Xenopus tropicalis: one gene and its partner. Each later gene encodes a partner of the first gene's protein in a complex. Links are inferred from orthologs where the notes say so. Each region holds a gene or a part of one and is shown in the gene's direction. Other genes may lie near its edges.

Region 1 (6,911 bases):
TAGTAACTTTCCAATATACATTTATACCATTGAATGTTTTCAGTGGTTTTAATGTTTGTAAATTATACTTGCTATTGAAAGTATCATGCTTATTATATATATTCTCTGCACTGTTGGATATGACTTTTGCAGCAGTGTAGCAATTGTCAGTTCTCTTTCATTTCTGCTGATTAACTTGCGTCAGCTACATTTTTAAATTACTATAAAGAACAAGGAAAGTATACTATACTATAAAGAACCTGTGATGGAAATTACTTTTATCATGCTGGAGCTTCTTTTTGGAAAAAAAAAAACTACACTCTCCTGAACATTGTAAAGAAGTGCCACCATCTTACCTTTCTCTTCCAGCTAGCACTCTCCAACTTAGACCTGTGCATGCCCAACAGAGTACAGCTTCACAGTTTTATGATTTTTTGCTTGGGAGAGAGTGTTTACTAATTGTTGTTGAAAGGTTAATGTAAAGGAGTAGCAGACAGGCAGCAATGCTAACCACTATGCCAATTACTTAGGGTAACTTAGGACATAAACTGTGCTAATACATTACATGTCTCTGCTGGTTGAGAAAATTGCCAAATTAAATTGGAATGTGAAGTTCTGATCTATTATCGGAAGTACTTGGTCAGTAGTCACAGTTTATTGTGCTTGGAGCAATGCCATTTGCTGCATGCTATTGGCCATGGTGTTATATGTGTAACTGCACAATAATGTTGGTAGTCACACAGGTGACAACAGCGTAAATTATAGAGTGAAAGCAGTGGGTTTATACAGCAGTATCACATAACTTATTCCGTATAGAGGGGCAGTGTTAGAAAACACACTATGGGGCACATTTACTAATCCACGAACGTCCGAAAAGCGTCCGAATGCATTTTTTCCGTAATGATCGGTATTTTGCAATTTTTTCGTAAATTGTCGTGACTTTTTCGTAGCGTTACGACTTGCGTGAATTGTCACGACTTTTTCGTAGCTGTCGCGCCGAGTACGAAAGTTTCGGATTCATTCAAGCTTCAGTATCGTGACTTTCCTTGGGCCAGGTTGGAGCTGCAGAGTGCCATTGAGTCCTATGGGAGGCTTCCAAAATCATGCAAAGTCTGAAAGGTTTGCCTGCCGTTTACGAGCGCTCAATACGAAAAAGTCGCGACAATATACGAGCAAATCGTAACGGCTACGAAAAAAATCGCAAAATGTTCGTTTCCAATCTGAATTTTTCCCATTCGGATTCGTGGATTAGTAAATGTGCCCCTATATGTATATTTTTACAATCTGTTATCCTTTGTAATTTTTCCCATTTGCTCATCCACTGTACTTGGCCCGTTATCAGTTTTGCATGGTTTTGTATTGAATGCATACCATTGGGATGACCAATCTTTGCATTTACAAGTTAGTTAACTGATCTTACATTTTCTTAGGTGGTGCTTTCTCCGGAGGACAAAGCAAATGAAGCTAGCAGGGGACCCAAGTTGCAAAGGAACAGTGAGTTGAAATTTTCACCTTTTGTAAATATACATCTTTCCTTTTTAATTTGTGTATTTTGTTAAAGGAACAGTAACACCAAAAAATGAAAGCGTATAAAAGTAATTTAGAATATAATGTACTGCTGCCCTGCCCTGGTACAACTGGTATGTTTGCCTCAGAAATTTATATAAACAAAGCTGCCGTGTAGCCACAGAGGCAGCCATTCAAAAGGGAAAAGGCACATAGCAGATAATAGATAAAACACTGTATTCTACAGAGATTATCTGTTATCGGCTATGTAACCTGTGCCTTTTCCCTGTACTGATGCAGGGCATCAGTACATTATATTTCAATTACTTTAAAAAGCTTTTATTTTTTGGTGTTACTGTTCCTTTAAAGTTCTAAGTTAGGTTATTGGCTCAAGGAAAAGCTTGGCATTTTTTCGATAGAGAAGAAAACAGTTGTCGGAGAATGTTGTAATAATACAGATTGCCTTTTTCTCTTGTTTTGAAGGAGCACCACATGGGCGAGGTGTGAAAATGAAATCCACTGTAGCAACAGTGAAGAATCCAACTGGAAAAGTTCAAGCAGACATATGCAAACCTTTTTCTGGGAAAGTGTTCTATCTTGACCTAACATCCAAATTAATATCTGAAAAACTGGAAAAAGACATAAAAGAACTTGGAGGTGTAAGTCAACTATAAAAAACTTAATGCAACTAGTGTATCTTTTACTTCATTGTAAAAGATTGTATTGTATTACATTTTTATTTATGTATGTCGGTAGGTAGTGATGGCACTCAAAGGGATTTGCACCCAATGTCATCAGGTGAAGAAAAATGAGGTTTATTCAGTCCAACGTTTCTGTTCCTGATTGGAACTTTCATCAGGGACACCAGCACCATGTGTGTTACAAACCTAAGTTGGTGCCAATGTTGTTGCTAGGCAACCAACGTGCAGTAAAAGTTATACAAACATTGCGTTATGCTGATTTTGTGCTGCTTACACACACACCAATTGTGTGCTTTCTATCACAGCTGGATATATTACCATGTTTACTTTCCTTCCCCTTAAAAGCTGTTAAAGTTATAGTTTCTGATTTACTACTACTTGAAAGCAATAGATTTTGTAAAAGTGAACTACTCCTTTAAGGATGTTTTCAGATAAATTTCTGAGTGGCTCATCTGTAGAAGTACTAAATATCTGTTACCCCTGTGCTGCAAGAGAGAATGTTTTGCTAGAAATTAGCATTTGTACTCATTACTTTTTACATTACAAATTCGTAAATGAACCTTCAATTGCCTGCTAATTATAGAAGCCGTTGGCATTAAGCTGTGATATACTGCCTTGTCTGGGAGGTGTGAACAGGTGAAAGGAACTGTTATCTGTTTTAAAATGTCTTAAAATTGTTACCCCTCCATATTTTCTCAGACTGTTGAAGGATTTCTCAGCAAAGAAATCAGCTATCTTATAACAAGTAAAAAGGAAGCAAAATGTGTGAAGACTTTGAAGTATGTTTGTTCTGTACCGAGTCCCGAACCTGCTCAAAACACCGGAGAGAGTTCAACCAGCCCAGGCAATAGGCGATTACCTCAAGAAGGAAATTCAAGTAAAAAAAATGAAAAGGTATCAGGCTAAATTAACTTCTGACTTTAAATTGTGCTCACATAGAAACATTACATTAGTCCAAAGTCCTGTGCAAAATCCTTGATTGTCTATTAACATTGAAAAGTATGTAAATCATGCAAGTTTCTTTGTGTAGAATTGAGTAAGTGTATTCTTATAATGGGGTAGAACATTCTGTAGCTTTCAGTTAGCCCAGTGCTGCCCTGTGTGTACAGTCACTGACAGGAAGGGGGTCAGCCTGCCGCTGTGCACAAGGGGGCAGATTTCACGTAGAAAATGCACATCACAGAACACCGAGCATTTGAAGAAACACATATTTTATCATCTCAAAGATTTGGTCAGATATTTAATTTGCAAATTATTATGCAAATAATACATATCTGACCAAAATTAAATAGACCAAAATATTGCATAATTTGCTAAATATTTGCTTGTTTCATCTGTCCAGAGCTGTAATGTCACATGACCTTTTTTGGGGATGATTTATTAGTTCCCCTATCTTAAAGGAACAGTATCATATTTTTTATTTTTTTTTCGGTTAAAGCTCGGGTGCCCAAACCTGTCAGCAAGTTCTGTTTAAACCATTTAATTACACATCAATGTGTGTGTTTAAATGGAAGTCCATCTATTGCTCCACTGACTTGAGAATTCTTGGTGTCTCAAGAATTCTTGAGTTGCTGTGCTGTAAAAGTCTTTGGAAACTTTGTGCAATGAGAGAAAACATTTGTCAAACTACACATAAGTGCTGTGTTTAGTCAGGAAAAAGCAAAGTTTCTCAGATATTGATTAATATAACATTTATCTGAACTTTTTTTTTTTTTTTATTGTGTAAACAGAGCCTTGTAAGTCGGGGGAAATCTTTAGTGAAAAAGGCGATCAAAGAGCAGGTGAGACTCTTACATTTGCTAATGACTATTTATATTTTCTTGCTTTCCTCAGTCTATTATTTGTTACTAGTAAAATAGCTCATTTACAGATTGTTCAGAGGGGCAGTACGCCCAATGTTATATCTAATTCCATCTTGGCTATGTGTGCAAAAATATCTTTTGTGTGCACATTTTAAAAAATGGTGTGTTCAGGTCAGAATGGATACAGAATGTTGTGTTTTCATACAAATTTCTTTGTGTGCACCACAATTTGCTGTGTGTGCACGAACACACAGCTTAAAGGGAACATTTAGTACACCCCCTGTTTTAAAATTAGCGGGTGATTTGTTCCACGGCATTCTCCTTTTTAATTTAGAAATATTTATGGTGGTTTCTTTTTTTCTTCTATGGTAAACTGCTTTGATATAGTCTGTTCTTCTGGTATCTATTTTCACAGGAAATTCTACCAAAAAATAGTATTTTATCTAATGCCCTCAACTGGGGAGTTAAAATACTTCATGTTGAAGGTAAGACTTTTTTTTTCTTCTTCCCTATTTCTCTTTCTTTTGGATTGATTGCAAACAATGTCTATGAATTGGTAGCTTCATCTTTTTTATTATAAAAACATAGAAAAAATGACCTATAATAAACCTGTGCATAGGCAACATTGTGTGGATTCAAGCTGTATAAAAACCATAGCAGTCTGCGGCATGCTTAGAAATAGCTATGCAGCATGTTGATTTTATTTATCTTTTTACTGGTTTTAATAGCATTATCCAGCAACCCCAATTTATATAAGGTAACATTGCTTTTTATTGGGAAATTTCCTATGCAGTGTTATACGTAAGTATCTGCATATTTGGTTCTTGATTCATTAGAAATATTTTAAAACAACTCTGTTTAAAGTGACACCTTCCAGGTGTGTAACTGCAGTGTGTATGTATATTATATATAATTAGATAAAAATGCCAGCACTCGTGTTACTGGTAAAGAGACTTGCCTGGTTGCAATCCTCATAGAATTTCGATAGAAAGTAGAACATATAGAAGTCTCACAGGATTTATGAAAATACAAAAGACATTTATTGAACAAGAGAAACTGACGTTTCAGCTGTAGAACCAGCCTTTCTCAAAGTTACAAAACCAAGTGCAAATGATCTATAAATACTGTGTGTGGCGGGGAAAAATTAAAAATGTGATGTATAGCAAACATAAACGTTCACATTTAGCACAAAAAACTTGAATCTTTAAAAAAAAAAAAATATCAAACTCGAGCGTTGATAAATCTTCCTTCTAAATAAAGTCAATAGTTAATAACCTTTGCCATAAAGGAATAAGTTCCCAAGCAAATGGCGAGAGATGGATCTGTATATGTAACAAATAATTATATGTTATATATGTTTATTTTTTTTTTTAATTCATAATTTGTGGCAAGACTATATCAAGTGCAAGTCGATTTGTATTTGGGGGCAGGGCAGAATCCTCATAGGATAAGTGTAAAGAGTAGGGATGCACTGTAACCAGGATTTGGTTCAGTATTCGGCCTTTTTTTTGCAGGGTTCGATTTCGGCTGAATCGAATCTGAATCCTAATTAGCATAAATTAGCATATGCTAATTTGCATTTCGAAGGGCTACATTTTTGGGGGGGGGATTTTTTCAGTGTGAGCTGATGTTTAACCCTTCCCGATCCTAATTAGCATTCGGTTTGGTATTCGGCCGTTTGGTGAAAAGTGGGTTTGGTGCATCCCTAGTAAAGAGTCCCTCAGTCTGAAATCTAGATGTCTAGAAGCAGCCCTGTATTGTTCAGTCTTATTTAACAGTATCACCCAACCTACATTTCAGAAGCAAAGCGTTACATTGAAAAGAAGAAAAGTTCATTGCAGCAAGTCAAAAAATCCCAACCTGTAGTCAAGTCTGAAGTAAGTGTTTCAATCTACAATGTGTGTCTCTGTTCTATGTGTAATGCGGGAAAGGAAATATTTACTTAGGCCTTAGGCAAGCCAATCCTAATGTGTTTGCAGGCTCATATATACTGAAACTATTGGGAATCTGTTGTGTTCCCTCTTTATACTACCTGCAGCGGACACGGTACTTGTTGAGTTAGCAACAGACATGGGTAACAACTGGGCACTGTTACAGAAAAGTTAGTCAAAAGCACATCAAAAAGTTGCTTCTTTTAAGATGTGACTGGCTCACAACATGCCAATGATCTCCACATACTACTTCGTATAAATTGTATTTCATTTTTTTAATATTATTAATCCTGCCATCATTATTAATCCTGGTGATTGGTCCATAATAGCAAATATCTTTGACAGTGGTGTTTTTAAAGATTATAACAGAACCCCCTAAACTTTCTGGGAAGTTTTTACTTTACTTTACCCTTTTAAAATAGTATTTAGTATGTTACTGGCATTACAAAGCGAACTGAAGGTGTATTGGGATATTTCTGCTTACATTTTATTTATTGTTTTTCAGAGCAAACATCCAGCACGTCGGAAAGTAAAACGTAAGTTGTCACGTGCAATTTTTTCATTCATATTTCAGAAAAATATCTATCAAGTGAAGTTTGTCAAATGTTTTTCAGCCTGTACAGCAAAACAAATTTACTTTTTTTTTTTTTCTCCTCATGTAGCTCAAAAACTAAAAAGCCCATACATAAAAGTAGAAGACTGCAGTTGGTAAGTTGGATGTGGTAAAGGTGGTAATCTGTTGTCACCCTTATCATACACAATGTATTAAAATAACACAAGACAATTCTCCCTGAGCAACCAGCCTACATTATTAGCGTATTTTGAATTAATCATAAGGACTAATATTGGCAAATTGTTTTTTATTGTACTATATTGGGCGTTGGGTTCAAGTACATGAACCTTAGCATGCACTTCAGTAAAAGGAAACTGGGTCCTTCATTATAGAAATAACTGCCATTTAAGCAGTTATTTATACCACTGTCTTAATATAA
Region 2 (7,534 bases), on another chromosome or scaffold:
ACGCGCACCTGGACGCGCGTGCGCAACGTCCCGCGGACAACGGGACACACGCGTGCACGCAAGGAGGTGCGCGAGACCGGGCCGCACGGGTGAGTTCCCTGACACCCTGGTATTGCGGTATCTGAAAAATGAATATAGTTTTTAAAAAAAACACCGGTATTCAGTATTAAACGGTATATCGCCCAGCCCTACAGCTTTCTGGAGCAGTGCTTTGGAAATTTGGTAGTGTACTGCTGGGAGTTTTTGATCTAAGCAAGTGAGAAATCTCCATAAAACCATAAATATTTGGTATTGGTGTATTCCGGAGACATGGGACTTTCCAAATCAGTTGTATTTTTGTGCATAAACTAATTTAGGCTTCCGGTATATGTATTTATCGTATCGGCTAACCAATCGTTTTAACATATGATTCATTCATCTATGGTTAATAATATGTGAGGAGACTTGTATTATATCTTTGTCGTATTGGCTGCAAGATCATAAACATACATGTTTATCTTATATTATGGAAAATGTTTTTTTAATTCCAGTTGCACGCAAATTAACCCCTGTACTTACAGCTTGGTTATAGAGCTCTGTTATGTTAAAGAACTTTCTTGTTAAAGTTTGGTTTTCACTCTACTGCACATGCACAAGCGGTGCGAAGATAGAAGAAGGAAGAGGATCAGTCCCTCGCAGCTACACTGGACTGGTGTAGTTTTCTTCTAACAGAAGTACCAGCCTGGGGTAAAAGGTAAGCAATTACCATAACTTGGGGGGATCCAATATTTGCCCCCCTCGTAACAAGTAGCCCTAAGGGCTTGTTGTCATGGGTACTAAATGCTTCTGCTGAAACACACATAGAGACAGTTATCAGTAAATGATCAGCATTGTCTATTTTTGTAGCGAAGACAAGTAGCTGCTACTAGTATCTCTGTGTGTCTTCACCCTAAAAAGCTTCCAGTGACTTACCAGAAAATGCACCAACAGTTCCCCACACAGTCCATGGTTTATATCTAGACAGGTTGTGTCTCAAAACTAGTTGGCTCTACTCAGGGCACCCAGATGTCTGCAGTCTTCTCTATTCATTGGATGGAATTTTGGGGAGTAATTTGAATATTTCTGTCACTGTAGCAGCAAGGACCTATTCTGTCAGATATAGTTTCTTTATGCCAGAGTGTGATTTCTGTCAATTGCTTTTGATTACAAAAAGGGAAGCGGGCCTTATATGTTTGAATTGCACTACAAAAAGCTCCCACAACCATTCACCATTAATATGAGGTCAAACATAACCTAACTCCTGGCTAGAAGATGAATTCCCATAGGCCCAAAACTGAGCAAGATAATAAACCAAACCACAACGCAACAAACAGGCCCACTTTCTGGGCATAAGATAGTGTACCACATCCTTGCTTTACTCCAAGTATACCAGCTTCATTTGTTCGGTCACCTCAGGTGCAGACATGTCCAACAAACCTGGTACCTGTAGAACTCAGCAGTGGTTGCTCCACCAAGTCGTTACCTGGTGGTCTCTTCTGCAAGCAACCAGTTGCAGCTAGTCCCCATTAAATATCCTGAAAAATTCATTTTTGAATCTGACAACATAAAAATTTGAATGGTTTTGCAAAACATAGCAGAAATCTGCTGTCGCACACCAAGGGGCAGATTTACTAATCCACGAATTTGAATCCCGAATGGGAAAAATTCAGATTGGAAACGAAAATTTCTGAAGATCGCAAATATCCCGAAAATGCTTACAAAAAAATCATGATAATATCGTATTGGCGATCCGAAAGTCACAAAATTTTCGTACCTAACCATTGTAAACAGCAGTAAAACCTTTCCGATTTTTTCGCGCAGGCGTCCGAAAAAGTCGTGCGGACCCCCGAAAAATTTGGCAAAGATACGCTCGGAGCGGTCGAATGAATGCACTGAGTGTTCGTGCTTTTGTAAATGTGCCCCCATGTCTAAATTGTCTTTTGACAAAAAAGACACTAACCTTGTTACGTCTTTTTGGAACAGGATAGCCTTTATTTGGCAAAGAATGTTAGGACATGTTGTTTATTATCATACTCCACAATTCAGTGGCTACTATTATTGGGAAGAGTTTGAACAGTGTCAGCTTCTGTTATATCCCTATCTGCCCAATGCCATGGCCATCTCTCTGCACACCATTTATCTTGTCAATATGCAGCAAAAGCAGAGGCCCCTCTGCATCTGTGAAAGGCCAATTTAAAGTGAATTTATCTTGCTGACAGCACTATACCTCATTCCTCCCAAACTGTCAGATCTTCTGTCATCTCTGTTTTCTCTAATCTCTAACATTACAGCTCTAACTACAGCTTGTTCAAGCCTACTATTAAAAACTCTTCCATTTTAGCTAGCAATATCCTTGCTTGTACCTTCATACCAACCCCTCAGTACATTTCCTCTCACATGCACCATTATATTTGTGTTCCTTGGGGATACCCATATACACAGATCTATATATCTATATCCTTTTGGCTAAAATGTATATTCTTGTTATTAGCAAACTTGTGACCAAATGTTATGTTCTTTTCTACCCATAGCCGACCTGCAGTTGTTGATTTTGAAAAAAAGAATTTAATGGCTGCATTACTTAAAAAAAAAAACATTTATTATAAATTATAATTTCCTTTTGTTTGTGAGGAACAGATTAAAACCGTAAAACATTTAAATAAATGTAGCCAATTATTCATTATAGCCATACTTTCACCTCATACATACATAAAAGGTAACTTTTGTTCTAATAGATAATTCATGAGTAAACTTTAGTGGGGCACACGGCTATTTCTTATTTTCTGCGCACAGACAAGGACTTTGCTGCCATGACTGTAAAGCAGATAGGAGTAGGTACGAGCGAGTCTTATTGTTTTAGGTATTGGACAGTATAAAGTGACGTCTGAAAACCACCGACACCAAACAATGTAAAATTTTATTAAAATTCACAAGTATTTTTGAAATTCCTTACCATAAAACCGACTTCCTTCCAACCAATAGTAAATTGTCTACCTCCCTAAACCAAGTATTCTCCATAAAACATTTCGCAGTTCCAGCAACCTTTAACTAGCCAATCGCTTGCAATGCGTCACACCCCTTGCGCCTTCCTATAGGCTGTAGTGGCACGTCTCTGTTAATACAACCAATGGTACGTTTAGGACGAAATGTTAGCCCCGCCTCCCCCGCCGGGCGCGATCTTTCTGTGCAGCTGTGTGTTGTTATTCCGGTGATTTTTGGCGCCATTCGATTCACATTGCTTGTAGGGGTGAGAATGAGTTCGGGGGACACTGCAGGTAATTGAAACGGCATTTTAGGTACTATGTGTATTAGAATTACAAATACAATATGATCGGCGATTTAAAACTCCCGATTTTTCCCCGCCTCTTACTTCCGCCCTCTGAAAACATACAGCGGGCATTTGTAAAGCAGTGAGGACTGTGTATTCTGCAGGGTGACTGGATTAGAAAGGGCATTTGATTGCTACAACTGTGCATACTTACTTACTTACTTTTACTAATTTATATAGTTATAAGTTCACCCATTTGTTCAGCTTAACAATAGTGCTGCTTAACTTAATAACGGGGTAGGTTACCATTAAATGAACTTTTAGTATGATGTAGATATTGTTAAGGGATATTCTCCACAATTGGCATTTGGTCTTTTGTTTTTGTAAAAAATGTTTAACTTGACTTGAATGAGAGACTGCAATATGAATAGACAAGAACCTGAATAGAAAGATAAGTAATTAAAGAAAACATAATTATTAAAGAATAAAAATTAAAGAAAACATAATTGTAGCCTCACAGAGCAATAGTTTTTTTGGTTGCTGGGGTCATGTGACTCCTTTTAGCTCTCAAATAAGGGTCAAAGAGGAAGCCAAACTAAGAACCTATGAACAAATGAAAGAATTAAAAAGTTGTTTTAAAAAATGCCATTCTCTAATAATATATGAAGGGATCTTGTCGTCAAAATCATTTTTTTGGTTGTCTCCCAGTTATATTTTCTAGCTCAGCCACATTGGTCTCATATAGCTTTGTTCTCACAGAGTTCACTGCTCTGGTCATACTTTTTAGCTATACTGAATTGAATAGAATCTATATAAATGGGTGTATACATTGAACATACAGATTTACACACAAAGCAACCGATAAAGAGATATAAAAAAGTGACAGGGGCCTTGGCCAAAAGAGATTACAGTCTAACAATTGGCACCTAGCTTGGGCTATCTATCCTCTCTCAGCAGGGAATTATATTGTGTATACCAACAAGTAGCAAATACCTATGTTTCCTCCATTTGTCAGCCTTGACTCTTGATCTTGCTACTTAGGGGCCCATTTATCAAAGTACGATTGAGTCCGAATTCAAAAGAATTGTATTTTTTTATAAGTTTTAGAACTGTGCGTATTTTTTGTGATTTTATTTAATTTGCGCAACTTTTTTGCACTTTGACAATTTGTGCAACAAAATCGTATTTATTGCAACGAGTACGAAAGTTTTGGATTAATTCAAAATGCATTATGTATTGGAGAAGTAAAATGTAGGTGTCGCTGTATGTGCATAATAGTTTAGTGTTTATGCACTTGGGATGTGTGGGTTGACTAAAAGTCGACTCACATCTGACCTGCCCATCTCTGATGTCATGAAATGGGCAGGGCAGAGCAGACGTGCACTTATAAATTAAAGGAGCCAGAAGCTGGCAGTCTAAGGTCACGGAAGGAAGAGCTCAACCCGTACCCACCCACAAATGGTGTTCAGGAGTAAGCCCAAACCCACACAACCCAAAGGTCCCCATACACCATAAGATCCGCTTATTTGGCGATGTCGCCAAGCGAGCGGATCTTCTCCCGATATCCCCCACCTATAGGTGGGGGATATTGGGAGAATCCAGGGTAATTAGATCGTGTGGCCCTGGAGCTAAACATTCGAATTATAACGGCAGGTATAGGAAAAGTCGGTCTGGGGACCGCATCAACGAGCCAATGCAGTCCCTGATCCGACTAGATTTTCTAACCTGCCTGATCGAGATCTGGATGATTTCAGGCCAGATATCGGTCGGGCAGGCCCGTCGGGAGTGCCCATACAGGGGCCGATTAGTTGCCGAATCGGTACAAGGGACCGATATCAGCAGCTACTATCGGCCCGTGTATGGGGACCTTAACTCGATGCATTCATCAAGGGTTGTGTGTTTTTTTTACTTTAAGAACTTGCTGTGTCTAAACAATTTTGCATTCATCATTATCGGGCAGATTTACTACTCCACGAATTCGAATCCCGAATGGGAAAAATTCGGATTGGAAACGAAAATTTCTGAAGATCGCAAATATCCCAAAAATGCTTACGAAAAAATCGTATTAGTCACGATAATATCGTATTGGCGATCCGAAAGTCACAAAATTTGTAAACAGTGGTAAAACCTTTCTGATTTTTTCGCGCCAGCGTACGAAAAAGTCGTGCGGACGCCTGAAAAATTTGGCGAAAATACGCTCGGAGGTTCGTGCTTTTGTAAATGTGCCCCTATGTATTAATAGTAGTGCTGTATGAGCATAAAGAAAACAGTAAAGGTGTTGTGTATGTTTAATTACAGGAGTGGCAAAGGAAATTGAAAAGCTGTATGCGGCTGTACCTCAACTTCGCAATATTTTCTACATTAAAAGCAAAATTGGGGAAGGTAAAAGGCTTTTTTTAATTTTTATATATTGTTACAAAATTTTTCAGCCACTGAGATGAAATGCTTAAAAGTCACAATATCACCAAAATAAAATCTGTTTTTCCAGAAGAATTTGCTCACAGGAAAGTCATTTAAAAAAATCTTTTATTTTTAAGAAGTAATGACCACTTTTTTATTTGCGTAATTTTTATTTTCCACCTATGCAATCCCGCAAAAACCTTGTAGACCTTGTAAATATGAATTCCACAGTTATATTTGCTCTGATTCTATACTGGCATTGCTCTAATCAACGAATCCCTACTATTTCGGATTCAGCCGAATCCCCAAATCCTTTGTAAAAGATTAGACTGAATTTGGATTTGTAAATTAGGATACAGGAAGGTTAAAGAGTTTAAAAAATTTTCAACTTCCTTGTTTGTGGCAAAAAGTCATGTGATTTTTAACATTCGGATTCAGTTCGGCCAGGAACGTGGATTTGGCATGCATTGTATGTGACATAAGAGCCCTTAAGAGTATGTGGACCCCTGAAAACTGCAAAACTTTGCTAAATTTTGTGGCTTTTATGAGATTTCTAAAAGTTGCATTGCCTAGCATAATATGTAGGGATGCACTGAATCCTAGATTCGGTTCAGTGTTTGGCCAGGATTCAGTCTTTTTCGTCAGGATTTGGCGGAATCCACGGTTCTGGCCGAACCGAATCCTAAAAATCACATAACTTTTTGTCATGTTAACACGGAAGTGAACTATTTTTCCCTTTCAAAATCCTAATTAGCATATGCTAATTCGGACTTGGTTCGGTATTTGGCCAAATTCCTTACGGTGGATTCGGGGGTTCGGATTTGGTGCATCCCTAATAATATGCCTCAGGAATCTTTACATACAGATCCTAAATATGAACACGGGGGGTCTACTGAATGGTTTAATGCCCAGTATACACAATTCAACTAACTATGTCAATGTAAAGGCACCAAAATAAAAACGTTGCACGCACAATTTTCATGGATAAAAACAAGTAATCAATAGCAATGCAGAATGCAGCTTTTTTTGCCCAGAGAATTTGGTTGTGAAATTTCCAGTTTCAGTAGTTTCACTGTGCTATAAAAGTTTTACAGGCTCACACAAGCAATCTGCATCTAAAAAGTACTTAAAATACAATAAAATGGATAACAATGCAACAAAAACACTGAAAATAAAAGAAAAAAATATTTACAGGGTGATCATAACTCAGACACTAAAAACACTAGTTACCCTGAGCAATAAAACAAATATTTTGTTTTTAAGGTACATTTAGTTCTGTGTATTTGGCCATTGGAAGGCTGAGGTCTGGAGAAGATGTAACGTTTGCTTTAAAACATTTAATCCCCACAAGTCATCCAACTCGAATTGCAGCAGAACTCCAGTGCCTTTCAGTAGCTGGGTAAGTATATATAATCCCTTCAATGAATCTAATGAATGCTGTAGCTTTTTTGTGGTTTAATAAAGTAGTACATTTATCCTAATGACAGTACTTTTCAACCTGGCATAAATTACATTGCCCATTTTTCCTTGTTTGGGAGTGTTTATGGTAGCTGTATTCCTCTTATGAGCAATTGAAAACAAAAAGGTGCTAATCTGACTCTTTAGGACACTGCCGCACAGGGTGGATTCTCGAGCTGCAGATAAACGTGGGCCGAGAATCGGTACCCAGAGCTACTGCAACGGCCCAGGTGCAGGCACACAGAGCGGAAAACTGTGCACTTGAGCAGTTATGCACCGGAATCTGCTCTGTGTGCCTGCACCTGGGCTGATGCAGTGGCTCTGGGTGCTGGCTCATCAATGGGCTTTTTCAGTGTAGCGGCGGATTCTGGGCCTGCATTCATCTGCAGG

What was found. The genes of interacting proteins can lie anywhere in the genome.
Region 2: the proteins of dbf4 (region 1) and cdc7 are in contact, whole or in part, in a crystal structure (PDB 6YA8), measured with the Homo sapiens proteins. The link is inferred for Xenopus tropicalis from reciprocal best matches to the Homo sapiens genes DBF4 and CDC7. Residues at the interface, in NP_006707.1 of Homo sapiens: Thr210, Arg211, Thr212, Gly213, Arg214, Leu215, Lys217, Pro218, Phe219, Val220, Lys221, Val222, Glu223, Asp224, Met225, Ser226, Gln227, Leu228, Tyr229, Arg230, Pro231, Phe232, Tyr233, Leu234, Leu236, Met239, Pro240, Ile242, Asn243, Tyr244; in NP_001127891.1 of Homo sapiens: Asn56, Val57, Phe58, Ala77, Gln78, Leu79, Gln80, Ile87, Ile93, Pro94, Thr95, Ser96, His97, Pro98, Ile99, Arg100, Ile101, Ala102, Leu105, Gln106, Thr109, Lys121, Tyr122, Cys123, Phe124, Arg125, Asn127, Asp128, Val130, Leu143.

The regions. Positions count from the first base shown.
Region 1 is NC_030682.2:29,279,607-29,286,517, reverse strand, and holds part of dbf4 (protein DBF4 homolog A), read left to right. Parts: intron 1-1,409; 5' UTR 1,410-1,473; intron 1,474-1,968; 5' UTR 1,969-1,994; coding exon 1,995-2,144; intron 2,145-2,885; coding exon 2,886-3,080; intron 3,081-3,916; coding exon 3,917-3,967; intron 3,968-4,403; coding exon 4,404-4,473; intron 4,474-5,788; coding exon 5,789-5,865; intron 5,866-6,424; coding exon 6,425-6,455; intron 6,456-6,581; coding exon 6,582-6,627; intron 6,628-6,911. UniProt on the Homo sapiens protein: Regulatory subunit for CDC7 which activates its kinase activity thereby playing a central role in DNA replication and cell proliferation. Required for progression of S phase.
Region 2 is NC_030680.2:104,925,366-104,932,899, reverse strand, and holds the start of cdc7 (cell division cycle 7-related protein kinase), read left to right. Parts: upstream 1-3,160; 5' UTR 3,161-3,271; coding exon 3,272-3,293; exon of another isoform or gene 3,294-3,314; intron 3,315-3,409; exon of another isoform or gene 3,410-3,583; intron 3,584-5,584; coding exon 5,585-5,668; intron 5,669-6,949; coding exon 6,950-7,085; intron 7,086-7,534. UniProt on the Homo sapiens protein: Kinase involved in initiation of DNA replication. Phosphorylates critical substrates that regulate the G1/S phase transition and initiation of DNA replication, such as MCM proteins and CLASPIN.